4 linked regions of the Oreochromis niloticus genome follow. The protein of the gene in region 2 interacts with the protein of the main gene of each other region in a pairwise test. Links are inferred from orthologs where the notes say so. Each region holds a gene or a part of one and is shown on either strand. Other genes may lie near its edges. The genes, in order: brain-enriched guanylate kinase-associated protein, enkd1, pdlim7 and ubxn11.

Region 1 (6,904 bases), on a different chromosome or scaffold from region 2:
GCAGTGCTAGCAATCTACTATGCACATAACTGTAAAGTGGAAAATTAGTACAACATGCAAAATACAAGACTTTTCACAAGGTTTCAATTATCTACTTTAATCCAAAACTCGTAAATCTCATAAAAACTGGCTTTTAATTGGCTAGTAGTGCACTCTTTCATATGGAGACAGTAACTTTGAAAGGGTTTGTCGGTGCATAATGATCTCAATTTCATTGGCATTGATTTAACTCAGCTTACATGTGAAGTACAAAACAGCCTTTGGTGATAAGCTTTGGCTTATTATCTATGACAAGAATCATTTCAGAAAACTGAGGAGGAGCAGAGCTCGTTGTGCTGCAGGGGGTTGGTGGAGCTGATGGTTTGTTTGGACAGACTTCAACACTTATTAATTTTCATCTTTGGACTCATTTAAAGTGGACCTATTATGTTCATTTCCAGCTGCAAATTTTTATTCTTGTACTGCACTAGATTTAGAGTAGCTTTGCATGATTGGCAGTTAAAAACAAAAACGTATTTATCTTACGCCGAGCCCATTAGTTCATACTATATTTGAAACAATCATTTTTATATTCTCTCCCTTTAACTTTCTACTGACTGGTGTCCCCTCACCAACAGCATGTGTATGGGACTGTTTATTCACAGTCAGAGCTTCAGCCCGAGATGACCATATTCAAGATTTCATCTCTTTTTCACAGTATTCAGAGCCAAGAGTAGAAAATCAATAGTTGGAAACTGAGCTCTTGGAGCAGTCTGAAGCCTGAGGTTTTGATTAACAGGGATTACCTGCACATATCCATACATTATTATTTGAAACCTCTGGCCATATATATGAGGATTAGCATAATTTGCTTGCATGGACAAGGGACATTTCCCCATCTCTGGTCATACCAGCCTATCACATGGCAAAATAGCAAAGAAAATCTAATCATGTTCATTTTTCCTGGACACAAATTCGCACATTTGTGTCACAGTAAGCACGACTTTGAAAATTAGTGGTAAGTATATTAGCAAGGATATTTTATGCCTGGAGCACATAGAGGGGACACACCATCCTGGCAACCAAGATAACTGAGCTCTGAAAAAAAGTGTCAGCTAGTGAATGATCTTTTTTCTAAATCCAACTGAGTAGTTTCTTAAGATAATTAATAATTTAAAAGAAATGCAATGAAATAATTTCAGTCCCAAAGCACCAGCAGGGTATCTGTGTGCAAAAACTATAGTTAGTTAAATACAGTGAAAAGGACTGAAAGGAGCATGTTATGATATTTTATAGGATCCTCAGAGAAAAGGGGAAACCAGACTTTTTTCCCCAGTTTTCAAAGTAGAAAGATACCTAGCTGCCTGGTTAATTCATTTATTTGTCTGCCAGCATACTGTGTTACTGCATTTTGAGAATATTTTATAGTAAATACTGAAGTTAAATGGCGCGTACACATTCAGTATTAAACACAATCAAAAAAGACATTTAGGATATGCAAAAGTGTGTAAATTGCATCAGTGTGATTGACATACATTGCATATTGACAAGGAATATTGGATAACTGTACAGCACCATTCCATGGGCATACCATTTGCAAATACAAAGTGCCATCTTCCAACTAATTACGAGTTAATATAGCTTAAAGTGGCAGAAGGTTAGCGCACATTGTTCACTCTTCCTTTGTTTTTCCACCAGATTAATTAAAGCTCTCTCCACTGTACAGCAGGTTTGAAATTCACTTCAAAGACTCAAAGTTTCCCCCTAGACTGCACTTTATCCAAGGTTCTGTTTGCTTTAATTATGTAACAGGAAGCAGGGATCATCTCCAAAATCAATGGTTCCTCACTAGCTGGAGGTTAAGACCGGAGGTGAAAGCAATTAACTTCTAGATGTTATGATCATGTTATGCTGACATGCTGATTATAGAGCCACCTAAAGGCAATGTATCACCAAAGGCTTTAGGATTTCCTCACTGAAATTCAAAGTGATCACACCCATCCATCACGTCTTTTCTCAACTCATCAACTGTGCAATTATGGAGTCTCCCATCGTGTGTTCTGTCTTACTCTTGATCTGTACAAAGTGAGAAGTTTGGCTTAACGAGAGCAACTTTCTTTCTCATGATGGGCTTGTTGGGCTGTAATAGCCTCTCTGTGGTATCTTCTTGCCTAGTGAAATATTATGAGAGTAAATTGAGGGCTGTGAAAAAAAACGTGGTAACTCATTATTCTCATACCACTAAAATACAGACAACAATAATAACCCCTAAAGAACAATACCAGTTTAGTTCAACTTGACCAAATGATCATGATCAACCTAACTTAATGCAGTGACTTCCAGTAAAAGAAAACCTTCAGATTTTACTCCAGTATGCTGCACAACATGTAGTCACATTCTCCAAACATAGTGTACTGTTGAATGCAGAGCAGTCTACCCAGCCCTTTTTCTCAAAGCGCTCAGAATATGCAACACATGAACAGAGAGGCACAACAGCTACAGAAGAGCCCTCACAACAATCATTACTTTCACAAGTGCAGCAAAGCAACTACACACACTTATCTCAGCGTCACTAATGAAACCAGGCATGCACTTCTTCGCTTCCTTGCCTTACCGTTTATATGCCATTTGCCTCATTTTCAGCAGATAAAATCACTACATTCATGTGCCTGTGCATCCCCTCAGAGCTGCATGCATTTAGAAAAAGACTCCTCTAATTCTGACTGGAGACAGGGCTGGTAGGCAGAGAGAGAGAGATAGAGAGAGGGGGGAGAGAGAGAAAATGAGAGAGGGAGCTGAGAATTGAATGGAGCAGGAGGAGGTGTTCTGGAAGAGGAGGGGTTAGGGGAGTGATGGAGAGAAGAGCGAAGAGAGAGAGGGGAGAGGTGTGGCTGAAGGTGTAACTGCTGGGAGGAGAGGAAGTAAAAGTGAAAGTGGCCAACCTTGTGTCATGCTGCGCCTCGCCATCAGATTCCTGGTAGGAAGAGAAGCGGGTGAAATGATTAGATATATTTATCAAGCAGATTTATCTGGCGCCGCCGCTGCCACTGCACGCCGTGGAGTACCTCTTATCTGGTGTTTAACGAGCTCTCAGAGAGGCTGTGTCTCGGCAAACAAATATATCCATTATTTCCTCACTCTGAAAACACACACTGTATCAGTTCTGAGAACATTAAGTGAAAGGAGGAGGGAGGCAGAGCAAGAAATGACAGATTAACAGTGCAAAAGAAAAATGCTGTGTGCTGCAGAAATGGAGAGAAAGTGCCCAAGGGTGAGAGGCAGACTTGCAGACTATAGTTACGAGGAAAGTACAAAAAAGTAAAACGGTAAACAAAACTAAAAATGTTGCAAATTAAGTCTAAAAGAATGATTTGACATTTTCAGAAGTACTCTTCTTAGATTTCTTTCTTGATACCACTCTCTTGTTTTGAAGGTGAATGAAGATATAGCTACCTTAGGGAACACAAAAATCTGCCTAACATGAAGCTCACTGCTGAGCGCTTCGAATTTTATTTCGATATGCAACAATCTGTGGAAAAAAGGACCACGCTTTGCAAAAGTTATGTGGAAGTTAGTCGCTTCAGGTTGCTAACGCTGTTTAGTGTTTATAACATAAGCTAACTGATGGCTAGCTATATTATACTCAGTACTCGGAGCATACTCAGTGCTGCTCTGTCATATCTACACATGAACGCAAATAAATAGACTGGTCATTGCTTGCATATAGATTGTAAATAATAAGGATTTCACAAGAATTTACATTGAATTTTTTAATGCAAGTTACATGCACGGCCATAATGAACTTTACAGTGGCCACGAAGTCACTGGTGCTGCAGTAGGTTGGTATGTTTTCAGGTGTTTGTGTGTTCGCATGTTGCATGCAACTCGCGTCAGTCTCATTGGTGAGGATTCAGCAAGGTATATTAAATGTCACAGGTGCACAGCTCCAACATACGGGCTACAAGATTGCAGTGCGTATTGGTGAGTGTGTGGATGCCAGGCTTCACGCAGTTGTGTGGGTGTTACAAACAGTGCGAATGATACAGCAGGATGACTCATACAGCTACTGAATGAGACAACGCTCAGTAATCCCCCAACCCCCCCCACCTCCACGTCCATCCTTCCATCCCAGCATCCCTCTGTGTGGAGAGGGCAAGCCTAGAGAGAGGGGGAGGAGGATAGAATTGGCATTCCTGGAAGGCGTCACTGAATGATAATCAGCTCACATGGATTTACTTTCATTCAGTGGAAAAGGTAAAATATTAACCTTTAACTCGCTTTTGCTAAATGATGATAGAAAGGAGACAATAAGCACACATATATTAAAAATATTGACTTGACAAACACTATTTGTCATTTATTTTGTACTTAGCTTGGGCAGCTAAACATCCATCCATCCATTTTCTTCTGATTTCCAATTCATCATCAGGGGTGTCTGGAGCTTATCCCAGTTGTCATAGTGTGAGAGACAGGTACACACTGGACATGTCGCCAGTCCATCGTATGGCTCACACATAGAGCCAAACAACCATTCACTCTTACATTTACACCTATGGGCAATTTAGAATTACCAGTTAACCTATCCCAAAACCACACGTCTTTGGACTGTAGGAGGATGCCAGAGTACCCAGACACAGGGGGAACATGCAGACTCCACGCAGAAGGCCCCCTGGATTTGAAGCCATCTTGCATTTACATTACCATTTGATAAAACTTTTATCATAAAAAAATATTAATTAGTATTTTTAATAACTTTCTAATCGTTAGGATTTCTTCTTAGAATTATTTCTGATACCACTGTGGATAATTTTCAGCATTATTTTCATTACATTTTTTGAAACTCTGCTCCCACAGCATTTAAAAGTAAATCTGCTATTCTCATCCCAATATAAAGGTCATTCACTGCATTTACTAGGTGATGATTTTATCGAAACACACACATTAGCCCACATGCTTCATGTTTAATTACTGCTGTATTTCACAGGGATACTCTTGTATTGTTAGGATGCGTTCCGCTGCTGACTGATAATTCATAACTTCACTATGTATCAATTACAAGTTCTCAGTTTATCTCAGCTCGTCACATATTTTGTAATCCATGTATTTCAGCCTTGCCCTCCAGACTGCAGAGGACACTTCTCCTTCTTTTTCTCCTACCTTGAAAGAAGCACCCACCTCATCTCTGCACTTGCAAGCCACTAACTGTGAAAAGCTGCCATACAGCAGTTTTCTCTCTTTTTGCCAAATGTATTCCTTTTAATACAGACACCCACTCATCGGCTGAACAATTGCTAGGGAGCTGACATCCAGTGAATAAGTTCTAGTCAGGAAGCGACATCCCAAACATTTCTCTTCCTCCTTACTGTTGGACGTTGGTCAAAGTTCACCCATTTAGCAGCAGGGTATTAGTACAACAGTGCATCAGGTTGTGAGAGGCCATATTACTGGATGGCATTTCTATGCCTGAGGCTCAAAAGCACAACAAAAACAGAAGGGGGGAAAGTGTTTAAATATTTTATGTATCAGCTACCTTCACACTGGAATTTGTTTTAGATTCAAGCAGTCTTTCTCTATTTTAGTAAAAAAGCAGCAAATAAGGCAGATGTATTTCTTAATATTATATTCCAAAGGGACCAGTAGTTCCCATTGCTAGCCCTCTGTTGAATGTTTGGAGGGCAGGGAGATGCTAATGCATTTAAATAAAAAGTAATACAGCACTCTGAGAACATCCCGGCCACTGAAAATGCTCATCTAGTAGGTCGTGCTGTGATTTTGAGTCTATATTTAAAAGAAGCATGAGCAAGAATACAGTTAGGTCCATTAGTATTTGAACAGTTACGCACTTTTGGTAATTTTGCTTTTGTACACCAACTGTATTTCCCACCTAGAATTTCTGCAGCCATCTTCAGCTGCTGCTTTTTCGTAGGTCACTCTGCATTCAATTCGGTCTTCAGTAAGTGAAAAGGATGTTCTGAGATCAGCTGAATGACTTGGCCATTGAAGAATATCTCAATTCTTTACCTTGAGATACTTTTGGGTTGCTTTTGCAGTATGCTTTGGGTTATTATCCATTTGTAGTGCGAAGGTCTGTCTGATCAGTTTTACGGCATTTGGCTAAATCTAAGCAGAGCACAGCCCAACACTTCAGAATTCATCCTGCTACCTCTACCAGCAGTCACATCATCAATAAACACTAGTGACCTGGCTCCACTGACCTACATGCCCATGCTATAACATTGCCTTTCACAGATGATGGTGTATGCTTCGAATCACAAGCTGTTTCTCTTCTTTTCCCTTCTTTTTTCTTCTCATCATTTTGGTGCAGTTTCATCTTGGTTTCATCTGTTCCAAATTATTTTTATTAGGACTGTTGAGGCCCTTTCAGATGCTTTTGCCAAAGTGTAATCTGACCTGCTTGCTCTTGTGTGTAACCAGTGGTTTGCACCTTTCATTCATGAAGACATCTCTTCATGTAGACTTTAGGGACCAGAAAAGGTAGAAACATCCAAGTAAAACCCATAGTATAGCAAAGAAGGGGGTATACTACATGTTTAGCTTATACTACGACAGATATGCCTGTCTGTTTAAAATGTTCTTTACTGGACCTTTTCATCCACTTCAGCTGTTTTCTGTAGTCTTTCTGGCCTTTTGGTGTTAGTTTGATCACACCTGAAGTTTTTGCTATCTTTCTGATAGGTTTATCTTGTTTTTTACAGCCTAATGATGGCCTCCTTCACTTGCATCAACAACTTTTTGGACCTCATTTTGAGAATTTCAGTAAAAAGCTGGAAAATACAAATTCAACACTTGAAATTGATTCCAGATATTTTGTCTGCTTAATGTGTCACAGAGCAACAAGAAAATAGGCCTCACGTGGCCTTAAAACTACCTTCTCAACTGACCAATTATTTTTAAGCCTCTGAAA
Region 2 (7,940 bases):
ACCAAGAAAAGAATTTTACTAGAAAAAAATAATTTGTCTCTTCAACTTAAAGGTGGTGATCCAACCACAACTAAGCCTTGATACGTGCTTCATAAAAGACTTCCTGGATTTCTCAACACACAGTCCAAAGACTGGGCCAGCACATCCCATCACTAGATTTAAGACTAATCTACCAGCTAAATCTTAATCTACCAGTTAAAAACACTGTGTAGTATCTCAGTGTTGGGCATTCCCGTGGCAGTTATCTACATGTATGAATGTAAGGGAGGAATCATACTTTCTTTTAAGGACTTCAGAGTCTCCTGTCTCTTATTCTCAGGCATCAACGTGTGTCCAGCTGGGATCGTAGGATCAGGAGCATTCCTCCTCCTTTCTTCTTTCTCTTTACGCCACTGCTCCTTCCTTTCCTGAAGGCTATATTAGTGTCAATGTCAAAGGGCAGAGAGGAAAAAAAACAAGGGTGTCAAAAAGGTCAAAAGTATCTAGTGGTGAAATATCATGAGCATTAAGCACACTGACACTGAAGGTTTCAATAACACTCACTATTGAGGAACCTGGCCCTTGACTGCACTGGGTACAGGCTTATCTCTGAGGTTTGTCAGTGACTGGGACCTCCGAAGCACAGTTTTTCCTGCAGTCCGGGCATTATGTTTTATGAAGTCTATTGTCTGACCTTGAACCTGTAACTGCAATTTAAACAATCTGTAGAAACATGTTTAAAATGTAGATGTGAACTTCTAATAAAACTTTAGCAAATCTCACTTGCAAGTCCAGGTCCTGTGTAGAGTTGCAGGAGGCCCGACGCTGCTCAGCTACACGTGAAGTTTTGGACTGTGGCCTCTGTGGGGAAGCAGACCCACCACAGGAATGCGCCTTCAGAAAGTTTTGACACTGTGGCTTAACACTTGGACTGGAAACCTTCATAAAAGAAACAGATTGGTCAAAACCTGATGAGGAAAAATAAAGTGCTCACGGATGGGCATCTTTCACAGATGTGCTTCTTGCCTGCAGCTGAGCCATCACCTTGGATGGGACATTCTGGTATTTTGAGGTGGTCCAAAGAGCTTTAACTGGAACAGCGCGTGATTGTGCCCTCCCAGCCTCCTGCTCTTTGCAGCGTTTCTGGATCTCTCGCAGTCGACGGACATTCTCTTTACCAAAATCATGCATCACTCGCTGTTCTGAGGGTAAGAAAGACTGTCTTAATTTCCTTTTAACACATGCAATCATTCAAATTCATTATTTTCATGCTTTCCATAATAACATGCTAAAAAATGCCAAAAGCTAGTACGTCAGTGTTCAATATTAATAACTAGTAGTTAAAAAAACCCCCACTTACTCTGTTTTGGAACAGGAGAGATAGAAACACTGTCTATTTTTAGTAATTCCCCTACAATCCCTTTCCGACCTCGTTCCAGGATATGGGTAGCATTGGGGCTGATGCGGGGGTGTTGTGCTGGGGTACGAGCACTGTAGCAACCTGGGTACAACACAGGATCTGGAGCAAGGGGCCCTGAAAGCAGGGCCAAAGTTCCATCATGGTTTCCCTCTAAACGACCCCGAGCTGGAGGAGAAGAGAAAAATAAAATAAACTTGAGCTAGAATTATTAGAGTTTTGTATTTGTTGCAGTTTTTAAGTATTTTGGGTGGCTTTAAAGCCTTTATTGTGATTTATTATAAATATTTAGTTTTCCATTTTAGTTTATTTGAAATTACTGAAATTTTAATATCCAAAGTGGGCCTGGTCATTTCAGTTTAGTTTTTATTAGTTTCAGTGTCATTCCTGTCCTAGAAAACACCAAACAAAACACCAAACACCAAAAATCCACAGTGTATTTAATTTTGATCATAATTATAGTTTTTTTAGTTTTCTTTTCTTAAGTCCAATTTTCATGGTTATTTGAGTTTACCAAAAATATTGGTTTATCCAGACCAACTCACCCTATGGCTCTTTAACTTTGTCTCCAAACCATTCAGCCTAAGCTGACCCTCTGATGGACTCATTTATAATAAACAAACATCTTCAGCTGTGCACCCTCAAACTTTGGCTCCTGTCTTTTTGTTAGTGCCACCATCTTCAAAGTATAAATCATAGCAGGTCTCATTACTATCTTATAAACTTTCCTTTTCACTTTAGTTGCTATCCTTCCATCACAACCCCCCCAACCCATATCTCAATGCTGCAATATGTAAATAAAGGATTGTGTAAAAAAAAAAAAAAAAAAAATTATTACTCTAAATTAATTATTACACCACAGCCACGTGGCTGCACCCCACCTGAAGCTGGTCGCTTGTAGTACTGGGGAAACAGAGAAGGATCCGGGGGAATTGGCCCAGATATAGACGAAGGTCCCTCACACATCTGAAAAAGACTTTGTGAATTATTTGCTAGTGTTACTTAAAAACACGTAAGACTGCTGATTTAATTTGGCCTGCACCTTTCTAATAAAAAGTAATTAACCCAACTCATATAGACTATACAGAAGAGCAGCTTCTGTACCTAATTCAGCTGATCGGAATATAGTGATTCTTCAGAATATAGTAGTGGAAATACATGTTCTTCCTCTGTTTCAGGGCTTGCTAAAGGCTAACTATTGCTATTGTTAATTACCTCGTTGTAAAGTTATCCCCTCAACACATTTTCTTTCGACGTATTCAGTATAAGATACAAAACACGCACCTGTTTAGTCACGAATAACTTGCAGGTAATCTTAACGTCGCTGCAACCAGCTGCATTTAGGCTAAAGAAGAGACGGTAATCTATTTACCTCCGTCCCCTGTTGTTTATCAGTTGAGTGTTTTCACGCACGCTGATGACGCCGAGGTCTCGGCACTTGTTGCAGTACTCCTCACCATGGCAACGGAGCAGGCGCACACAGAAATAGAGCAGCCGGGCAAATATTATTCATCGAAAAGCGTATATAGCGATCAAATTCCTGAAAGAATAAGACAAAGACAAAGCGCAGGGCTTCTTAAAACACAATAATAACTGTAATCATAACTAAAACCTCTAAATCCAACGGTTCCTGCAGTTTTAAACCCTTAATCCTGTCGCTCTGTGTAAAGGAGGTATAGTGACCCTGCGTGTTGTCTTTCAGGATCAGCAGTACTCTCTTCTAATTAATTATCGAGCTACACTCAAATCTTAACAATCCCCCTAATCTTAGCTAATGCAAAAATAAATATAAATATGACCAAATATCTGTCAGAGCATGCAGCGTAAGTACACAGGAGGTACCCAGTTTGCCTGATATGCCTAACTCAGGGTTACAAACCCAATCATTCGAAGGGGACATTAGCTAGAGGTCATTGTCATTGACTCCAGAGTGCACTTCTAGTAAATATAGCAGTTTTACAGTTATTATTCTCCCTCTTTTCAGCACTACAGAGGCTTTAACAATATGAATAAAACTTTTCACTAAGGTGCTTGGACTGAGAGTATGTTTACCACATTTCTTTGTTACTGGAGTAAATGAACTATAACAAAAAATATGAAAGATTAGTGTTTGTGGAATTATAGAAACAATTATTCAGTGTAGCAACCCTATTTTTTTAATATAGTATACACTTATATAAACAGAGTACTATAATAAAGCCAGATGCAGTTTTCACCAAATATGACAGTGATTTTCTTCCCTATTTCTTTTTCAGATGTTATCATTATTATTATTGTTATAATAATAATTGCCAAGAACAGATCAATTTTCCCCAGGATAAAACAAATATTTGGATGGATAAATGAAAAATTTTGTTATGATCTCCATTTTATACATGCCCTTTGTGGGTTCCGTCCATGTACACTGGGCTCTCCTGTAATAATATCCATTTCCCAGTAAGAGTATTTTTAGCACCCAGATCTCCATTCTGAAGGTATAAACCCAAAAACATATAATCTTACTTTCTCAGGGAATTTCACAATTAAAGATCACACAGATCACCATGTGTCCAATAGTCTTTAATAAAAGGAAAAAAAACCCAAAACATGGTAGCAGTTTGTACATTGGGTTTTGGATTTTGGTTTTCAGCAGAAAGGGTGGGTGGGGTGTGTGTAATAAAGCATTAAATCTGATCAGATTCTTCCAACCAAACTCCCTCTATTTCTGTTAGCTGGTACATTTACACTGAAATCTCTAAATTATTGTCTATTCTCCCTCAGGCATTATAATTATATATCCTTTCTCCCCTCCATTTTCTCTTAATGTATGAAGATGGCCGTGTTTTAATATTTAGTAATTCCAGTGTACTCTTATATACACTGGAATTACTAACCTCTTAGACCTCTCTGTTACATTTTTCGGCTTCATATCAACATATTTTTCTCTATTTCAAATAGAACAGCTGCTGGGCATTAATTTATTCTCTAATGAATGAGTAGGGATGTGTGCGTCATGGACACAATGTGCATATTGCAAACATTTTATAATAAAAGAGAGATTTAGTGCCCAATGTCACTTGCACAACGGCCCCGCCCTCTGCTGGAGGTCTGACCTGCGCCTGCTCAGTCTGGTTTCCTCTGCTTTCTTCACTGTGCTCCGCTGCAGCGAGCAGTCCTTTTAAACTCTGCAACACTCCGCTACAAAAATAAAGGTGAGTTCTAAGAGTCTTTTGCAAGTCCCTTATTTTATTTTTAAATTTTTTTAAGGTACTGTTTTGCGATTTTTTTTCCTGCAATGGTAGTTGTTGTCAACAACCGCATGATTTTTAGTGAGATATGAGTCACACAAGGGTGGGAGTAGCCGCCGCAGACGGCTATGCCAAGGTTTTAATGCCAGTTCAGGCCTGTGTGTTCCCATAGTTAGCCAAAATTAACTATCATAAAACATCCTCGAAAAACTGAAGTTTAGCCCTCTTCTCAAAACTTACCACGAGTGTTGACGGCATGCAGCGAAAACAACAAAACAAATTTTTATGAGCGATAATAAGTGGGATTTATTGCACTGTTGTGCTGCAACATTTGAAATACACAACTTAAAATAGAGATTGTGCTTTTAAATAAAGGAGATGTATATGAAACGGTGGACGCATCTGGTCATGAGCATGTTCGCTAAGGACAGGGGGACGTGAGACCATAAATCTACTTTAAAAGTCTTATCTGTGTGTTTGTTAAGAAACACAAAAGAACATTAACAACTAGCACCGCTATCTTTTGTCATTGATTGTAACCTGTTGTTCAGGCTTTCCTTCCTGTTTAATTATAGAATCTTATCCTTGCCAATGGCCTGGTGAGACAGAGTTTTATTAGGTTATTTGGATAAAGCAATCAGTGAAAAGTGCTATCAGCCGATATTTGGATAATCATTGCTGTTCATTGTTATTGGCATCGGTGTGTGTTATGCAGAAATAAAAAAAAAAAGATGCCTGGGTTAATTTAGAAGTGGTGTCCTCACATGGTGTGTTTAGCAGAGTAGTTCAGTAAACGTGGTTCACACCTATCTCAGCACTTTCTGCAGCACATGTAGCAGGAGCTGGTGCAAAGTCTAGTGCTGTATTTAAATTAAGTCGTTAACTAGATAGTGAAAAGCACTGCTGGAAACTATAAAGAAGATCATTTTCAGTTTCAGAATTTCACCATTGCCCGAGCTCTTCTTTGAAAGAGAGTTACTGTCCACGGGCCTTTTGATGGCCTTTAAATGCCTTATTGTGTCACTGTTAAAAGGTATATTAATGCCACTATTGGATGATGCAAGCATTGTACAAACTAAAGCTACTTGTAAACACTTGCTTACACACAGCAGAAGTCTTTTTGTTGTCACTGTACACATTAAAACCCATTAAAAGTGACTCTGATGCAGAACAGAACTGCATGTTTCACTTTACGTTTAAGCTATAACTTGACTGCACTTCACCTTATCTCTCACACACATTCCCTACATTATGGTACACAAACAGACACACACAGTTATCTTGGTTTGGTTATCTGTACGCTATGCTAGAGTTGTGCAACTGCCTAATTGCATATTTTGCACCTTTTTATGGCTTTTTATTGGATGGGAATGTCAGAATTATTCCTTTCATTTAATCCTGCAGACGATGTCAGTTCAACTTAAGAGGTTAAAAATCTGTAATATATATAAGTTGGTCTTCTCCACAGTTAATCTGGATTCAGATTAGATATTTAGATGTTTTTATATTTCACAGTGTATTTAAGAGAAGAAACAACACTCAAATTAGTCAGCTGAAAGAGTGCAACATAAATACTGGGAATTTGTGCTGCTCACAAATTGAGCAGTATGAACTCAAAGCATGTTGCGTTGGACAGTTCTATGGATTTTTAAGTCATTTAACATTTTGTTTGTGTTCAAATACTCCCATGTCATTTATGTGGAGTCATCTTGACCTTTGCGCTCACTCCACTCTATCACCTGGCTACAGCTTGCGTATAATAACGTATGCACATTGTAAGTATTACGATGAGTGGTGGATGTTTTTGCAGGTACAATAAAAGTGCAATACTTGTTAAAAAAATGTATATAGGGGTCTTAATAGGCTGAACCTGGAGGAGAACACATGTTGAAAGCCAAGTCACATGTAATTCAGTGTCATGTTCACATGGGCTAAATTTAGAGCTGAGACTTGGTGAGGAAACTAAGGGGGGGAAAATGGACTATGCGGAGAAGGGGGTGAGGGGATAGAGAGTGGAGAAGGATTGTCTGTCGGGTGGAATGACAAAGACAGATTGGGAATTGCATGTGGTCTGCCACGTAGTTGCTGAGTGTCTCGGAAATGAATATTGAGACCACCGGTGATGGACTGGATATTTCAACATTTGTATTATGTGAAAATGAAGGAAGATAACGCAAGCTTTATTTATCCCAAAAGTTGGAGAGTTTTTTTAGCTTAAGAGTCAGCGTTTTAACTCAGGGGTTGATAGAAAATATTAGAAAGCTAGAGGAGGGTGAGTGAATATTGAACATTCATTTGTGACATATCACCAAAAAAAAAAAAAAAGACACTTACTATTGGATTTATCCCAAAGTTGGCCATATCAGCCTAAAAGTTGGTGTCTACTACATTTGCTATTCCCCCCTGAACTCTGTTAAATAGCTTTGCATGATTCACACTTTCTTCAACTGGGCTTTGGTGCACACATTGAGTTCATATGTTTTAGCATCTTTTCCCCATTTAAGCCAGCTTTCTCCTGATTGGCTCCCTCTTGAACACAGTAAGATTTAAATAGCAAATCAGTTATCCCCTCTCCCATGTCATACAGAACAAAGTGCTTAGAACAGTCTAAAACCAGAACTTTTGGCTCACAGGAGTTAATTTTTACAGATACTGACCTCTTTATTTAAAACCTTGGTTACCCCTGTAAAGGTAGTAGGCCCAATTTAAGTCTCACTATCGCTTCTTTAGTCATGAATATTAAATATTATAAATGAAATACTTTGAACTGAAAGCCGTTTTTTTTCTGAGTTAAAATCTTTGTGTATAAATGGTGCATTTGGAGAGGGGTTATTGTAAATATAGATCTCTGCAGGTGATGCGCCAGACTTTAAGGAACCTGGCATTAAAGTGCATATTTACCTGTGTGATTTACTTTCGTGACGTGTTCTGTTTTTTGTACTTTTGTGTGGGGGATGGAGGAAAAACCATTTCAAAAGATCTTTTCACATCTACACACAGGCCTGGTTTGCATGCAGTGCACAGAGTGCACTGGTTTACATCAGTTAAGTATGGCTACAGTAGCTGTAACATGCTGTGAGCCACTTTCAAACAAGAGTTTGTATTGTGCGATGATGCTGTTAATTAAAGTGGTGAAGGACTTCTTGCCAAAAGTTTCCCATTGTCGCTCCTTTTACTTCTCATCTGAAGAGTCATGGCACAGAATGTTGGGATTGTACTGCAGCAGGACATGCCAGGAAAAGGCAAACATGCAGAAAACAAAGACCACTGTGTGACGTGTCAGAGCCACGCACCAAAGGGACATGGTGAGTGGGGTG
Region 3 (7,429 bases), on a different chromosome or scaffold from region 2:
CTGTTGGGCCATTGGACTCCTGTTGGAGTACGCAAAACATTTACACCATTAGAAACAGCCATTCGGTTCATTCATGCGTGAACGCCACAGCAAACCCACTCCTTCATCACATGATTACGGTGTTCAGAATAAAACTCAACCACACATAGGTTATGTAAAGAGACAGACATCATAAAGTATTACAGACAAGACTGAAGCTCACCTGAAACAGGTCTCCATTCAACGTGGCAGGTTCTTCAAAGCCGTCTAGCATTTTTTTAAACAAAGAAAAACCCACAGATATAAGTTAAGATGAACTTCTTGGAGTTTATCCACTTACACTTCCTTGCTATCTGGAGTGACTTATGCTCGCTGCTACTACTAAAGTGGTGTCACTTTTGGTCTCGAAACGGATAAGACTTCAGAAATGCAGCAACACCTGTTTGGTCACCTGCTTGATATTGTCTGGGCTGCTTTGTCGGTTAAAAGGCCAGGAGCACTTGCTCTTTAGCTTAGTTTTAAGGTGCTAGTGTCACATAGCTAATGTTATGTGGGATAGCGTCCAATTAACAAAACCTACGTTGTCGTTGCCCGCAGCTAGCTAAGCTACAAGGCTAACGTACTGTTAGTTTGAATCTAAATAGGAAGCAGTGAGAGTGTTAACCACTTATATCACACAGTGGTGTTGTTAACATATGGCGGTGGGGCCTTTGTTGGTTAACTACTAAGCAAGTTACCGATGCAAGTCCCGGTATTAATATTAGCTAGCTCTAGTTAGCTTTGTTTGCTCGTTAGCTAAACATTAGCTGACGTTAGCTCAGGGACAAACTTGCCATAGTTGTCGGTCTGCGGCTGCTGAACACCGGCTCCTTCTAGGGTCCCAAATGCGTCGCCATCGTTTTCTATCCCCGCTATCTCATTCTCCTGTTGAGCCAGGAAAGCGGCGGCCGGGTCCTCTTCAGTCGGGTGCGCTCCGTTGTCAGCCATCTTTCACAAAAAGTGTACAAGTTTGATTGAGCTTGCTTAGCTAGCTAAACGTTAAAGCCACAAAAATCAGGGCACCGAGCTCTGCAACGTTAATAGTAACAACTTAAAAATTCGATTTGAGTGTTATCTATTCTAAATATTGCTTGGAAAAATAGAGTCAGCTAGTAAAGCATACGGAATAAACAATCTACGCGTCGATTAAAGGCCTTAACTGATGATTCATTATTTCTTCACTTGTTCAACCAGTATGTGTATGATGATAGAGCAGGGGCAGCACCCCGAGGGGACCTTTACATTTTGTTGGAGTTTGTCGCCATCTGCTGGCCATTTGCAGCACAGCACTGTCATCTCCAAGGGTTGTAGTACTAATGCGGTAACAGTAATAAAAAATATCGACAAAACTTATATAGCACTATTTATAGACAGAAATGGAAAAGCATAAAGGTTATGCATTCAGTCCCCCCCCCCCCCCCCCCCCCCCCCCCGCAGGAAAATAACTATCCTCAGCAAAATCTACATGAGTGGGTCATTAAAAGGGAGACGAACCAGACATCCTCACCACTTAACTGGACTCCCTTCAGATCCTTCCTGTCACTTGCTCCTGGATCAAAGATTTCCTCACTAACTGCCCTCAATCAGTCCGACTTTGCCGACTATGTCATCGTCAAGTATGCCGATGACATACTGGGTTCATCTCTGACGGAGGCATATAGGGCAGAGGTAGAGAAACTTGTCCCACTGGTGCTCAGAAAATAACCTGAAGCTGAAGGTCCTTAAAACAAAAGAGCTCATCATGGACTTCAGGAGACACAGACAGGTCCACTCTCCTCTCATCATACATGGAGAACGGGTGGAATCTGTCTCCACCTTCAGGTTTCTGGAAACCCACATCTCCACCGATCTCACCTGGACCCACAACACCAATGTAGGCTGTGCAGAGGGTAATTAACACCACCCAAAAAATCATTGGCTCTCCTCTGCCAACCCTGGAGGCCACGTCAAGGCCTCAGGTCAATCAGGTCCTACATCTCCAGACTCACAGCTTCTTCCCCCAGGCCATTCGGACTGTTAACAAACACTATCCACTATCATGGATTACTTCTCTGCACATTAGTGGTGGGGTGGGGAGGTCAGATCCTAACCTGTTGTTGGTCTTGTTCTTCTCCATCTGCTCATTTTGGTGTACGTGCCAGTCCTCAAGCTCCTTCTTGGCTTTCACTCTCCATTCTTCCTCCACTCCCTTGGATGCCGAGTCTTATTAGGACGCAAGAAAGCAGAAACGTCACACAGTTGTAATGCATTTAATCTCTTCTGTTTCTATGTGTGACAAGGATCTTTTTGATTAGTTTAAACTTTATCACAAGTGTGCTGAAAGGCAGTTTAGCCTCTAACAGAAAAGCAAAAAGCAGTACAGTGAAGCGTTAGTGAATCCATGTGAAATGAACCTGTGACCTTGTAAGGAAAATAAAAAGAATCATAAGAGCTACACATTACTAAGTGCATTACACATCACTGACAGCATCGGGGAAACTCTCCTCTGCCAACCCTGGAGGCCACGTCAAGGCCTCAGGTCAATCAGGTCCTACATCTCCAGACTCACAAACAGCTTCTTCCCCCAGGCCATTCGGACTGTTAACAAACACTATTCCCCCACACCCCACCCCTGCCCACTCACCTCACCATGGTTTGAGTAATCCTCATCACTCAGGTGACTCACACACGGTCTATTCAGACCAAGTATTTTCTTTGCACTGCTTCCAAGCACTTTGCAACTTGTTCTCTAATGTGTGCCTTTCTCTTATTTTTGTATATACCCCTCTTGACTGTATATATTTCTCCTGTTTGATACTTATTGATCTTATTAACAGCCTATGACCTAACTGGGTATTATAGATTAATAAAACAATTTCTTTGCATCTATAATCATTACTAAAAGGCCCCAAATGACCCCATATGACCTTTAAGTAATGGTCGAAGTGGATAGTGGAGTTGTTTTGTACAATTTAAAAATCCATAATTGGAAAAAAACAGCACAGGACAAACAGTTTGGGGACAAAGTTAAACAGACGAGGCTGAGATGGTTTGGATACATGCAGAGGAGTGATAGCGGATATAGTGGATGAAGGATATTGAAGATAGACCTGCCAGGCAGGAGGAAAAGACCACAGAGGAGATTCATGGATGTAGTGAAGGAGAACATGCAGAGGGTTGGTGTGGCAGAGGAGGATGCTGGGGATAGGATGAGACGGAAGTTGTAGTTGTAGTTGAAGTTTTTTTAACACCTGTTTTTGTTTGTGAACAGAAAGAATTACGTTTTGTTTTGTCTTTTTGCCTAACTTAACGCCTGTGGATGATTAATGTGTAGTTATTGTGTTAGAAAGTCCGCTTAAAACAGGTCCAAGGTTCTTTAATGTCACTCATCATAAAGACACGTGACAGAACGAAATGAAGTACTCAGTACTCATGCTGTGACAGGTGAACACACAGGTGAACACACCTGTCACACATAAGATCCCAGACATATTTTTGTATTATATCTTCATGCAGCATAGTGTGCATATTATTTTTTCACGCAATCACACTGTAATGGAAAATTTCTATTATTCTCATTTAAGGTATATAGGCACTTATGCGTATGCTTAGTTGTGACACTGTAATGTAAAACTTCCACTGAACAGTCTAAAACCAGATGAACTTATTTCAGCCTCAGTAGTTGAAGAAAACAACTGCATTTGCAGGTGCTGATAGCGCCAAGGGCACGAAACAGCATACCCATTGTAGTGGAAGTTCCACTAGGTTTCACAGCGAGCGGCGTGATATGTGCTATGATCAGTTTGTGACTTCCTCCCCTTTCTTTGGAATGTACAAAGATACAAAAGAGCGAGAGCTCCACTTCTGTTTCAGGGACTGCGCTTGATGACATGCGCATGATAATAAAGAGTGTTGATTGCGGCTGACCGTGTCTGCGGACTTTCTTAATTAAATGTGCACGACAACACACACTGTCAGTCTAAGTTTGACTGTTTTTTTAAAACTAACTTCACTTTTTTTTTTTTTTTTTTTTACAGACTCTTGCGCTATTTCTTAGTGTAAGGCTCTTACCATGCAGCCACCTGTGTTAACTGTGTTGTTTATTGTAGACGGTACTAGTTTTACTTACTAGTAAAACTGTTTCTCTCTCCATTTAGAATAGGTCATGTCAAATTAAGTTACCCTATTACAATTAAATAATAATGGCTTAGCTAGTAAGTGCAGCAAACAGCGTGTGTAAAAAGTTATTCTTCAGGGGTGGTGTCCTGGATTAGTTCATGTTTATCTCTGAGGCCTACTCTTATTCATTTATTTATTTATTTTCCTTTAGTTAAAACCGACGGAGTGATTGAGAAAAGCGGTTTCATGGCGGCTGTGATGAATGGCTTTAGTAGTAGCAGCTGATGAGTGCAACTCGGCCTCTGAGTGAAATGAAGCCTCCGCCCATGTGACTTCTGACGTCTCAGCAGAGTCCTGCTAAAAAGAATTTGAGGGAATGAGTTTGCTGCTCACCAGGGGGATCCACGGCGGCTTCCTAACGTTTGCCTCAAGGAAGTCTGAAAAGTTGCCTGCTTGCCAACCGACTTATTATCTTATTTTTTAATTATTTTTAATCCGGTACACTCGTGATGTCCGGCGAGCACAGAGAGACACAAGAGGTAAGCTAATGCATCTTTGTGTGTTTGTGTGGTGTAACTTCTTCAAACCAACTTTTCCCCCCCACAGAGGAGGTTTGTATGGATTAAGCTGGTGCTCCAAACTGTGCAGGCTCATGCTTCTGGCCATCTTCCCCGAGCCCCTGCTGCTCTGTAGCTGTGCTAACTACTTTGTCAGAGCCGAGAGTTTTGTCCGGTTTTCGTGTCCCGTGTTGTCGCGAGTGGAAACCTGGCTGTCTGCGGCGGTGTTAACCGGGGTACAGCGTTCACAGCGTGGCCTTTAATTACCGCTGGGAAATTAGTGTGCTGGACGCATTTAAGTTATTTAAAAGAAACCCGTGTAAGCTCGTAATTGCGTAGCGTATTAACCAAAAAATTTCGTGTATTTGAGCTCTCATTAAAAGCAACACGAGTTCCTATAGAACTAATGCAGCAGCGGCAATAATATAGAAGATTATAAATAGCAACACCATAAGCATGGGGATGAGTGCCACACATTTATTGGCTTAAAACTGATGCTTTTATTCTCTTGCTTATCATACAGGGTGGTGTTTAATTAACTGGAGTGCATTCACATTAATGCTGTTACTTCCTCCGCTTTAATACAGTCTGAATAATCAGCTTTCAGTGTGGTGTTTATCACCAGTGAAATCTAGCCTCCATTACCTGCTGCTCCTGCTGCAGGTCTTTCTGTGTGTCGCCTTATGCGCCTCTGTATCATAATTCATTTCCCTGGCTCTGAGAAAAACTAATTTAAGCTTTGCCAGTAAAGAGTCAGGTTTGTACAGATCTACAGGGTGCATTGACAGTAAATGAATGCGAATGGAAGTCTTTTTTTATTTTGAGGATTTCCATTAACTTGAGCAGATTTGCAGGTTTTCTTAGTGGGATTATTTGGGGTGCTAGGCTGGATTAAAGGCTGTGCTGCTAGATTTTCCTTATCTGTGAGCACACCACTGTCTCACCAGTCTTTACAGTGTGTGTGAGCTGCTCTGTTGCTTTAAGAGCTTGATGTTAAAGTATAATTGCTGAGGGCTTTTTTTTTTTTTTTTTCTTGCTTGCACTATGTTTCATGCCCTCCAGAAAGAATGTAGAGGTCTGTGTGCTTTGCTTCATTTGTGGCCGTCCGCCGTTTCCCAAGTGCAATGAACTTAGAGGAGGAGAAAAAAAATCTCCTGGCCCGTGCCAGAATCCATGGGTCGTTGACGTTACCTCTCTCCATCCTCCTCTGCCCCCCCCCCCCCCCCCCCCCTCCTCTGCCCCCCCCCCCCCCCCCCCCCTCCTCCTCCTCCTCCTCCTCTCCCTGTGACTCATGTGGGTGTTGGGCTGAAATAGTTTGGTGTAGTTTTACATTCCTTATATAGCCTCTGAGGAGTGAGCAGAGGCTACGGCTTGCCTGTGTCACAGTCAGGATCGAGGGGGTAGGGTTTGCCAACAGAGAGGGAATCTGCTTGCTCCAGCTTACTGACTCTTTAGCTTTCTCCCAGGTTTGGGCTACCAGCTGACCTTTGAGGACAAGGTAGGTGGCATAGCTGTGTGTCACGGAGACCTGTGACACCTGGTAGGTTTGCGGAAGAGGAGGTGGAGGAGGAGCAGGGATAGAGTAGCAGTGTGAGCACAGAGGTCAGTGGTCAAACCCCAACTCTGTGTAAGCCACTAACAGAGGCCTGCATCTCATGTTGCCCTTTGGTTCTTAAAACTACCTAGTTATTTAGTGCCTTGCCGCCGAATGGCAGTAATTAGTTGCGGTGAAGCCACGATACCTGTTACCTGGCTGAATACAGCAAGTGGCACATTATCCCCCCCGAAGGAGGAGTTGTTACTGCTATTGTTGTGCAGTAGATCTTCTAAATGCTGCACATTGGCGCTGCAGTAGACTGAAATGAATTCGACTCTAACTTCACCTTAGAGTTTAGCTTTAGATTATGACACCAGGCTATTTATGTGTGTTTTGAAATGTGTAAAAATGGCACATCCAACCAGCACCGCTCCCTCTTTATTGCCTAATTTTGACTTGCTGTAACGTGGTTATTCCTAAAACTAAGACGTGACATTATCTGCTGTAAAAGAAAACAACTTGAGTGCCATTTTCTGTATGGTGTGTGTGTGTGTGCTCTTGGGGGCTGGTGGTGCTGACAGCCAGCAGATACACTGTTTCAGATAACGCAAAATAATAAAGGACCTTGAGAACCTTTTCCGGGCTTTCTGGCTAATTAAGATGTTTCCTTTTCCCTTTTTTTTCCTTCCTCAAGGGTATGAATACGTACTCTGTAACCCTCAGCGGCTCGCCGCCTTGGGGCTTCAGGCTGCAGGGTGGCAAGGACTTCAACATGCCTCTCACCGTGTCAAGGGTAAGAAAGTGCACATGGAATCAGCTTTTGTACTTTTTTTTGCATCTGTGCAGAGCAGCAGTTGAGGTGTTTGCGCTCTCCTCTGAGATTTCCTCTAAGCTTCTATGAAAGCCTCGGCCTGTTAACAAGAGTCTGTTGGTTTTAAGTACCAGCTTGGCCACCTCAGTCATCAGGGCTTACCTTGCCTCAGCATATGCATGTATCACATCATTTTCTTTTTTTTTTTAAATTAGGCACACATAGTAAGATAGTAAAGGGGTTTGTCTACAGAAGCATTTCCATACTATTCAAATGTTTTTATGGCTCATTTTGGTAACCCTTGCCGATCTGTTCTAACATGCAGTTTCTTTGCATGACACTCCTGCTGTGTGCTTTGTACTCTGTGTTCGCTCCCCTCCTCCTTCCCTGGACGAATTTTCAGATACT
Region 4 (7,458 bases), on a different chromosome or scaffold from region 2:
AACCTGGCTGTAAAGTTAAAGTACTCACCGATCCAAGTGTTTTCTCTGGAAGACCTTGCGATTTCCCAGCTCCACCTTTAAGCTTCTTCTTCTTCTTGAGCGCCTCGCGGTACTCCTTCTGCCGGTTCTGCACGTCGATGAGGGCTGAGATGAAACTGTTCTTCACCTCTTTCTCAAAGTCCAGCTCATCCCTAAGAGCCAGCTGCTGAACCAGCTCCTCTGAAAACCTCCTGATCTTCATTTCAGTCTCCTCCAGACACTCATTCAGCTCTGCAATGCTCAGGGCCTCCATCCCTGGACCACCAAAGCATATTCCCTTAAATTACTTACATAAAATGCAACAAAATAACCCATCATAACACACTGTTCTGATCAGCAGACACTCACTCTCCTCGTAGTCAGAGCAGCTGTTGGGCTGCTGGACGTCCACAGAGAGCATTGACAGGTCCGACTGTGATGGATTATGTTCTGCCTCCATGTCAGGAGAGTCCTGCATCATTTCCTCTATCTCCTCGATAACCTGCATAAAAGAGCCAGCTCTTAAAATAACCCATCGAGCACGAGTTATTAAACATCTGTGGAAAAGATTTCAGCCATGTTAAGCTCTGCCTATACAGGCTTGACCCAGTGTGGCTGCTTCTGGGGTGAACTATGCTGGATTCTGACAGGGTGTGTAACGTACCTGCTCTGCTGTGAAAAGGGGCTCCTCTGCGATGCAGGAGACAATGATGGAGTGCATGTCTAGCTGATCCCTGAGCTCCTCATCGTCTGACAGCTCCAACACAACATCTGCCTTTCTCTAACCAGGAACGGAGCAGGAGGAGGGAATTTAATCAAAGCACTAAACCCTGGCACAATGAATATTTGAGATTTGCGAGATGACCGGAGGAGGGATTTGGCATTGGAGGGAGGGGAGCCGGGTGGTGTGATGAAGGGAAAAATGAGACAGAGATAGGATGGGATGGGCCAGAAGAGGTGGAATCACTCACGGGTTTCTCCTCCAGGTTGATTGCGGGAACGTGGAGGGCGTGCGTTCGAGAACGTTTCCAGTCCACGGGCATCACATGTCCGTAGTTAGCCGTCAAAGTGTTCCAGATTCTGAGGGGACACGAGACTTTCATTACAAACCACATACTCTGCGGATTTCATTTGCAGCTGCCTGAACATGTTGCCAATGGGGTCTAAGCCTGGATCTGATGACTGTAAACATCTTAGGATCTGTGTTACAAACTAAGTATGTCAAGGTTGAAATCAATCAAAATAAACATATGAACTGCAAAAAGAATGAGGGTAATTATAATTTGAGAATAAAACTACATCTTCCTGAGGTACATATTAGGATCTGCTTCATCTTTTCTTTGCATTTTTAAAGATTATTTTCTCATTTTTAATCATTACCAACAATAGCAACAGTTCTCCTGTTTGCAGCACTTGAGATAATCACAGCATTCCTGGAATTCCCCTTTAGCGATATTTTTTTTTTTACTAAAAACAAACCTATGTTAGCAGCAAGGACGTTGGTACTGACTGCAGGCACCACAGAAATACTTTTTTAATGCCGCATCTAAAAACATAACAATCAGATTAAGCAGGTCTGATGCCAAGGTTAAAAGTATAATCCCCTACACAGCTTATCAGGTTGAAAATACCACAGATGATGACGTTTAAAAAGTGCCACTTACACCCAGAGCTGCAGCATCATGCCTCCTGATGGAGCACTTAAGTAGAGTTTCATGTTTCCTATTTAGGATTTATTGAGGATTTTTCCACCCCCTGACCTCCCATTTCTTTTCAGTTTAACACTTTAAGGCTCAGTTTCCCAGACATGGATTAAGTCTAGTGTGAAACTGAAAACGTTGATTTTTTTTTTCCCCTTTCAGTTTATGAATAGGTTGGGAAACTGGCTGTAAATGTTTTTGGAATGAACACTGGGGGGTTTAAAACAATCCCCAACTCCTAAGTGTGGTAAAAAGGAAAATGCCCAAGGTGACTTTTTAAATAACCAGCAGCCTACCCTAATATGAAATTATTATTATTAATGCATACCTGATAAATTACTTTAACCAACTTTAAATATAATATAGCAGTTATTTTGAAACAAATATATCTCTTGCAAAAAGCTGCAATGTTAAAAATATCACAAAAATGTTGATTTTAGAAATGAGTTAAAAATAAAACTGAGTATAGGCCAATATCGATCTTTAATATAGGGCACATAAGATTAATCTGAATTAAAGATTACTCCGTTTATCTTGACAACAGATGATATGACGATGCCATTACTTCCTATTTTAAATGTTCCCAACATGTCTTTCCGTGTTTTTTAAACTGTATTGGAGCCTCCACATGCGCACTGGATGGGAAACACGCAGCCTGCCGTAGACAGGCCGTGGACTCACTCGTCTTTCTCCAGCAGCGTGTCCTCGGCGATCACGGCCACGGGAGCGATGCTCTCCGTCTTGGCGTCAAAATTTTGGAAGCACGTGGTTAACTTCTCATCGAAATCGTTCACCAGATCCTCCATAGACCGGAACCCCGCGTTCTCTCTAGGGGAGAAGCTGCTGTCGTGCAGAACATCATCATCATCATCACCGCCAAACAGGAGCGACTGGGGCGCCGCTTCGCTCACGGCGGCGGCGGTGACACGGCCTTTCTGCGGCAGCAGCCCTTCCTCTGACACTATGCTCGGATCACCCAGGTTCGGCCAGTCGTCGTCGAAATGTGCTATAGGTGCAGCCATAGCCCGGACCGGCCTAGTCGCCCCGGGTGGATGATAGATGTGTTGTTGTTGTGGGACTGGCAGGCCTCCGCATCCTCCCTGTCTGCCCGCTCACTGCCCACAGCGAGCCTGCGCCGGGCCGACTAGCGGCGAGACGCGGAATATAAACAGGTCACGGTGACGTGGGGTCTGAACAACAACGTGATTGTTAAAAGCAATAAAAACGCATCATGATCATTTATCACTACTGACCCTATACAATGGCGAGTTTATACCCTTTTTGAGGTGGTGGTGGTGGTGTGTGTGTGTGTGTGTGCGTATTCAAGCTCCCCTGAAAAATGAGACTGTCTTCAAAAAGAAGATGAAGAGGTAATTTCGTGACACAGTTCAGTATTGAAGATTCAAAACACACATAAGTGCAAACTGTTCAGGGTCGTTGTTGTTACGTAAAGTGTGAAGATTATGTGTATTTACTCTGAATAGCACCAAAAACGTTAGCTAATGAAGTATAAATACCTTGTAACTGTACTTAAGTACAATTTTCAGGTGTCTGTACTTTGCTAGAGTAATTTTTTCTGACTACCTTTTACTTTTATTACATTTTTAAAAATGTTCTACTCCTTACATTTTTCGTTTAACGAAAAGTAAGTTGGGTATTATACAGTTGATATCCTGTTAGATTCTGCACAATAACACAATAACAGAAGGACTATGAATTAAAAAACTGTCATATAAAAGAAACTCTATTACGAGTTTCTATTTAATCCAGATGTATGGAGCGCCAGTGTGACGTTTTTAATTGCTTAATATACCATGGACAGCATTTATGTGGTTAAGAGACTGAAACAATGGTGTAAACAATACTGAAACAAACTTACTTCGGAGGATTCTGGTCAACATGATTAAGCCTTTGTCTCAGGTTTCATAATTAAAGTGTAAACTGGTGTATTAACCTGAAAACTGTGGTTATTAATTCTGAATTATTCTTAGACACTGAATTATTCTTAGGTTATACAAGTAATTAGATTGCTTATGAAGGTACTATTTTATTGTGTATCCAGTTGAATATGTGCTTTAAATATGACTAATAATGTGCATTAAAGGCACAGATGATCACTAAACCACTAATTATTTTCCACAGTAATTTGTTTGCACAACAAAACCTTTTATTTTGGAGATCTGTGATGTAAATGTGCCTGTCTCTAAAGGGCTTTGGACCAACTTCTGTACTATAGGTTATAAATAAAATAAATGTGGCAGTCAACAGAAAAAGTGTTTTTATTTTTTCTTTTCCCTCCACCCCAAAATTGAGTGGGCTCCATACTGAACTTAGAGGATAGGGCAAAAAAGTATCAATCTAATGCGCTAGTGTCGATCTGATACCAATACAAGCTTTGGTATCGATATTTTGATCAATCTGCCCACCAGGTAGTTATGGCAAAGATTAGTTGATGCCGTCATAATTTCTGCGTATCCATGGTTAACGGCATCTAAACAGTAAAGGCAAAGTTAGGAAACACCACTCATCAATGTTCGTTTATCTTAAATGAAAAAAAAAAAGGCTTTTTTGTTTTGTTTTTCTGTCTCATTAGTTTCCCAACATGACATCACCAGTGCTTACATTTCATAATGCATCTTATAATGATGAATAAAACATTAAATATTTATGACTTCTCACATAAAACCCCCCCCCAAAAAACTAATCACTTAGTTTGGAAATGAAATGATCATTTCTTTATTTGTATTTCATTTTTAGAACGTTTATAATGTAAACGTCTACATTTTATAATTTTTTTCTTATGAAACAGAGGTAGTAGAATTTTAAAGTAAGGACAGAAAGAGCGACCTCCTCTGGGTGAAACAGACACTTCTGCAGATTTCACTTAGTACGTTACATTGTTGCTACTGGAAACGGACTCCACACAAACTGAGAAAACACCGGAAATCCCTCTGAACCTCTGTTATAGTTCATTCTCTGAACAGAAAGAAGTCCAAAGAAGAAATAAGTGTGGGATATTCAGGCTTTGGATTTAAAATGAGCTCTCCTTTGTCGATGCTAAAGAAAACCAAACGCACTCCTCTGCAGGGCGCTCACAAAGAGCAAGGGTAGGTGATTAACTCCACACAGGTAGAAACTGGACTGTAGTTTTATTGTGAAAAATAAACGTATCAATCATGTCGCCACACTTAATTTTCTTCGACCTGCAGGAGCAAATCAAAAGTTCCTTTAAGGAGGAATCTGCTGAAAGGTAACGATGCACTCACAGACCACCAGCAGCACTGCAAATTCAGTAAAGTACAAATACAGAATAAATAAATACATCCCAGCTAGAACTAGAACTACTTTTCTTTTAAACCCCTTAAATTAAAGCTGAAAGTCTACACTTTAGTCACACCGTGATTAAAAGTGTGTGGAGATCTAACAGTATTCATGTGTCCACAACATAAATAACTTAAACTGTGATGAGCAAAATGCAGCACATCCTCACATTTGACGAGTTCCAAATAATAATAATTGTATCTTATTGGAGAAACTGATCACAAGTTTCTCAGGTAACTTTTTCAGTTGAAAAAATAACAAAACAACTTTTATAACCATGATAGTTTTTGTTTTTAGAATTTGAGGCTGAATTGGCCGATGAGTCTTCTGATTACTCTCACACTCCACCCAACGAAGCCTCCACCTCAAATACGGGAGCTCCATTAAAGAAAGGTAGGCATTAACACAATGCTTCCCATTCCAGTGTCGAATATATCTTTTTTTATTTATCACATACAAAATGATTATACGTTTTATTTTTCTAATACTTAACTGCTGGTTTTCAGGGTGTCCTCCGACCAACTTTGACCTCATGTCTGCCATGGTGCAGCGAGTGACCCTCCTGGAGAAAACAGTGAGGAGCCAGGCAAAGGAGATAGAGCGCAAAGTGAGCATGCAACCACTTCAACGAATACCAAAACTGCCAGCCATCTTTAAACATGTTTAAACCTCACTTTATGGTTTCGTCATTCCTCCCAAGGATAAACAGATTTCAGATTTAGAGGAGAAGCTGAGGGCTCAGGAGAAGTCAGGTAATTATCTACAGCAGGCACAGACTTGAGTTCGATTTATGTTTGGTCGATCAAAGCGATTTCATGATTGTGTGGATTTAGGAAGCATGCATGACCCGAGGAGCAGAGATGATCTCGAAAGCCGGTGCCAACAACTGCAAAATCAAGTGCATGAGATGGAGGTGAGTAAGGTGTGTCCATAAAGTATGAGACTGTGATTCTATCAGTGTGGAGGTTTCACTGAGCTGCTGTCGTTGTTGCAGGACTTTCTGAACGATTATGGTTTGATCTGGGTGGGAGATACAGACACTGGTGATCCTGCAGAGCGAGGTAGATCCACCAGTCCCGCAGACCTGCAATCCCTTCGTGTCTTTTGTATCTTAAAGCTGTGCTGTTTTTGTTTTGTTTTGTTCTCTTCTTCAGAGACTTCTGGTAGCAGAGGCTTCCACATAAACTTTGATCTCGTGCTGCAGAGGATCAGAGAACTGAACGTCCTCGCAGGGGAAGGAGAGTCTTTTGTGCAAATGACAGCGACAGGAGCACAGCTGGCTAAAAAGGATCCCATTCCACTGAGGCTCTACAGGAATGGCATTGTAATGTTTGATGGTCCTTTCCGCTCATATCAGGAGCACAGCACCCAGGTTAGCTACACTGAAAATAGGAAAATCAAAGTCTATATTAAACTGGAATCTTTCCTTGGTTAAAAGTCATCAACTCTTGGTCCCTGCAGCAGTGCATGCAAGATCTAATGGATGGCTATTTTCCATCTGAGCTTCAAGAAAGATTTCCAGATGGTGTACCTTTTGAGGTGAGTCTCAGTTTCTTCTTCTTATTTTGTTTTTGGGAACAATTGAGTGTCTTCACAGAAATTCTCTTTGCAGCTTCATGACAGGCGTTACGAGGAATTCAACTCTAGGCTCCCATGGGAAACGTTTCCTGGTGAAGGACAGCCTGTTTGTGGGGACAAAGATGAATCAGCAAGCGCGCTGAGCTCTCACTTACCCGGTCTGTCTGCAAACGTCACCCTGATCAAAGCCACGGTGCAGATCCTCAGAGACTTTGCTGTCATTCTCATGTTTTCTTCTGATTCAAAGGCAAGAAGATGACCACGGATCAGTTCCTGAACAAGCTGCCGAAGTTGGTGGTGAAGGCCGGCCGAGTGATTGATATCAGGAACTCGCTGAGGGCAAAGCTGCAGGTGAGTCATAGAGAAGCAGCAATGATCTGTTTGTACAGATATACAGATGAGGACAAAATTACCAGCCACCCTAAGAAGTTTAAAAGCTTTGTCAACATTTTCTTGAGTGCTTTTTTAAACAGAGCAAGGAATTTTTAACATAACATTTGTAAACATTGTATTTTTCTTTACAAAGCATCAATTATTATTACTATTTCAGATTACCAGGATTAGTATTATTAGTTCCCTGAAAAACCATAGCAGGCACTACTGCTGTGCAATGATGTGCTTTAACGTTGTAATGCTCGAAGCTAAGAAGTTAAAACTGAGAGTTAGCTTCCAATAAAAACTCCAATAAAAACTTCAAGGGTTTGAGCTGTCACCCGAGAAAGCATGCTACCAAAGATAAAAGAAATCCGTTTAGACTTACTCGAGTCGTGAATTATAGTCTCAAAGAAGATAATCACCAGATTACCATCCTGCACAGGAATGGACTACAAAGCTGCAGACC

The links.
Region 1: the proteins of enkd1 (region 2) and brain-enriched guanylate kinase-associated protein interact in binary tests that used the Homo sapiens proteins (3 or more experiments, as listed by UniProt). The two-hybrid records come from large-scale screens. The link is inferred for Oreochromis niloticus from reciprocal best matches to the Homo sapiens genes ENKD1 and BEGAIN.
Region 3: the proteins of enkd1 (region 2) and pdlim7 interact in binary tests that used the Homo sapiens proteins (3 or more experiments, as listed by UniProt). The two-hybrid records come from large-scale screens. The link is inferred for Oreochromis niloticus from reciprocal best matches to the Homo sapiens genes ENKD1 and PDLIM7.
Region 4: the proteins of enkd1 (region 2) and ubxn11 interact in binary tests that used the Homo sapiens proteins (3 or more experiments, as listed by UniProt). The two-hybrid records come from large-scale screens. The link is inferred for Oreochromis niloticus from reciprocal best matches to the Homo sapiens genes ENKD1 and UBXN11.

Annotation. Positions count from the first base shown.
Region 1 is NC_031983.2:14,025,926-14,032,829, reverse strand, and holds the start of brain-enriched guanylate kinase-associated protein, read right to left. Parts: upstream 3,020-6,904; 5' UTR 2,922-3,019; intron 2,735-2,921; exon of another isoform or gene 2,594-2,734; intron 1-2,593. UniProt on the Homo sapiens protein: May sustain the structure of the postsynaptic density (PSD).
Region 2 is NC_031977.2:25,927,981-25,935,920, forward strand, and holds the start of enkd1 (enkurin domain-containing protein 1), read right to left. Parts: upstream 3,007-7,940; 5' UTR 2,769-3,006; exon of another isoform or gene 2,681-2,768; intron 2,363-2,680; coding exon 2,278-2,362; intron 1,565-2,277; coding exon 1,340-1,564; intron 1,182-1,339; coding exon 1,006-1,181; intron 919-1,005; coding exon 763-918; intron 687-762; coding exon 544-686; intron 415-543; coding exon 278-414; intron 1-277. Other genes in the region: vdac3 (voltage-dependent anion-selective channel protein 3), read left to right, coding at 7,817-7,928. UniProt on the Homo sapiens protein: Microtubule-binding protein which regulates microtubule organization and stability. Promotes the stability of astral microtubules and facilitates the proper orientation of the mitotic spindle.
Region 3 is NC_031966.2:28,750,455-28,757,883, reverse strand, and holds the start of pdlim7 (PDZ and LIM domain protein 7), read left to right. Parts: upstream 1-4,419; 5' UTR 4,420-4,625; coding exon 4,626-4,655; intron 4,656-6,013; exon of another isoform or gene 6,014-6,171; intron 6,172-6,904; coding exon 6,905-7,003; intron 7,004-7,429. Other genes in the region: cltb (clathrin light chain B), read right to left, coding at 1-19, 203-246, 813-966. UniProt on the Homo sapiens protein: May function as a scaffold on which the coordinated assembly of proteins can occur. May play a role as an adapter that, via its PDZ domain, localizes LIM-binding proteins to actin filaments of both skeletal muscle and nonmuscle tissues.
Region 4 is NC_031976.2:7,542,485-7,549,942, reverse strand, and holds the start of ubxn11 (UBX domain-containing protein 11), read left to right. Parts: upstream 1-4,454; 5' UTR 4,455-4,754; coding exon 4,755-4,825; intron 4,826-4,927; coding exon 4,928-4,968; intron 4,969-5,336; coding exon 5,337-5,432; intron 5,433-5,545; coding exon 5,546-5,646; intron 5,647-5,739; coding exon 5,740-5,791; intron 5,792-5,872; coding exon 5,873-5,952; intron 5,953-6,033; coding exon 6,034-6,100; intron 6,101-6,193; coding exon 6,194-6,411; intron 6,412-6,500; coding exon 6,501-6,578; intron 6,579-6,651; coding exon 6,652-6,775; intron 6,776-6,864; coding exon 6,865-6,968; intron 6,969-7,434; coding exon of another isoform or gene 7,435-7,458. Other genes in the region: fez2a (fasciculation and elongation protein zeta-2), read right to left, coding at 29-294, 388-520, 683-799, 990-1,098, 2,400-2,740. UniProt on the Homo sapiens protein: May be involved in the reorganization of actin cytoskeleton mediated by RND1, RND2 and RND3. Promotes RHOA activation mediated by GNA12 and GNA13.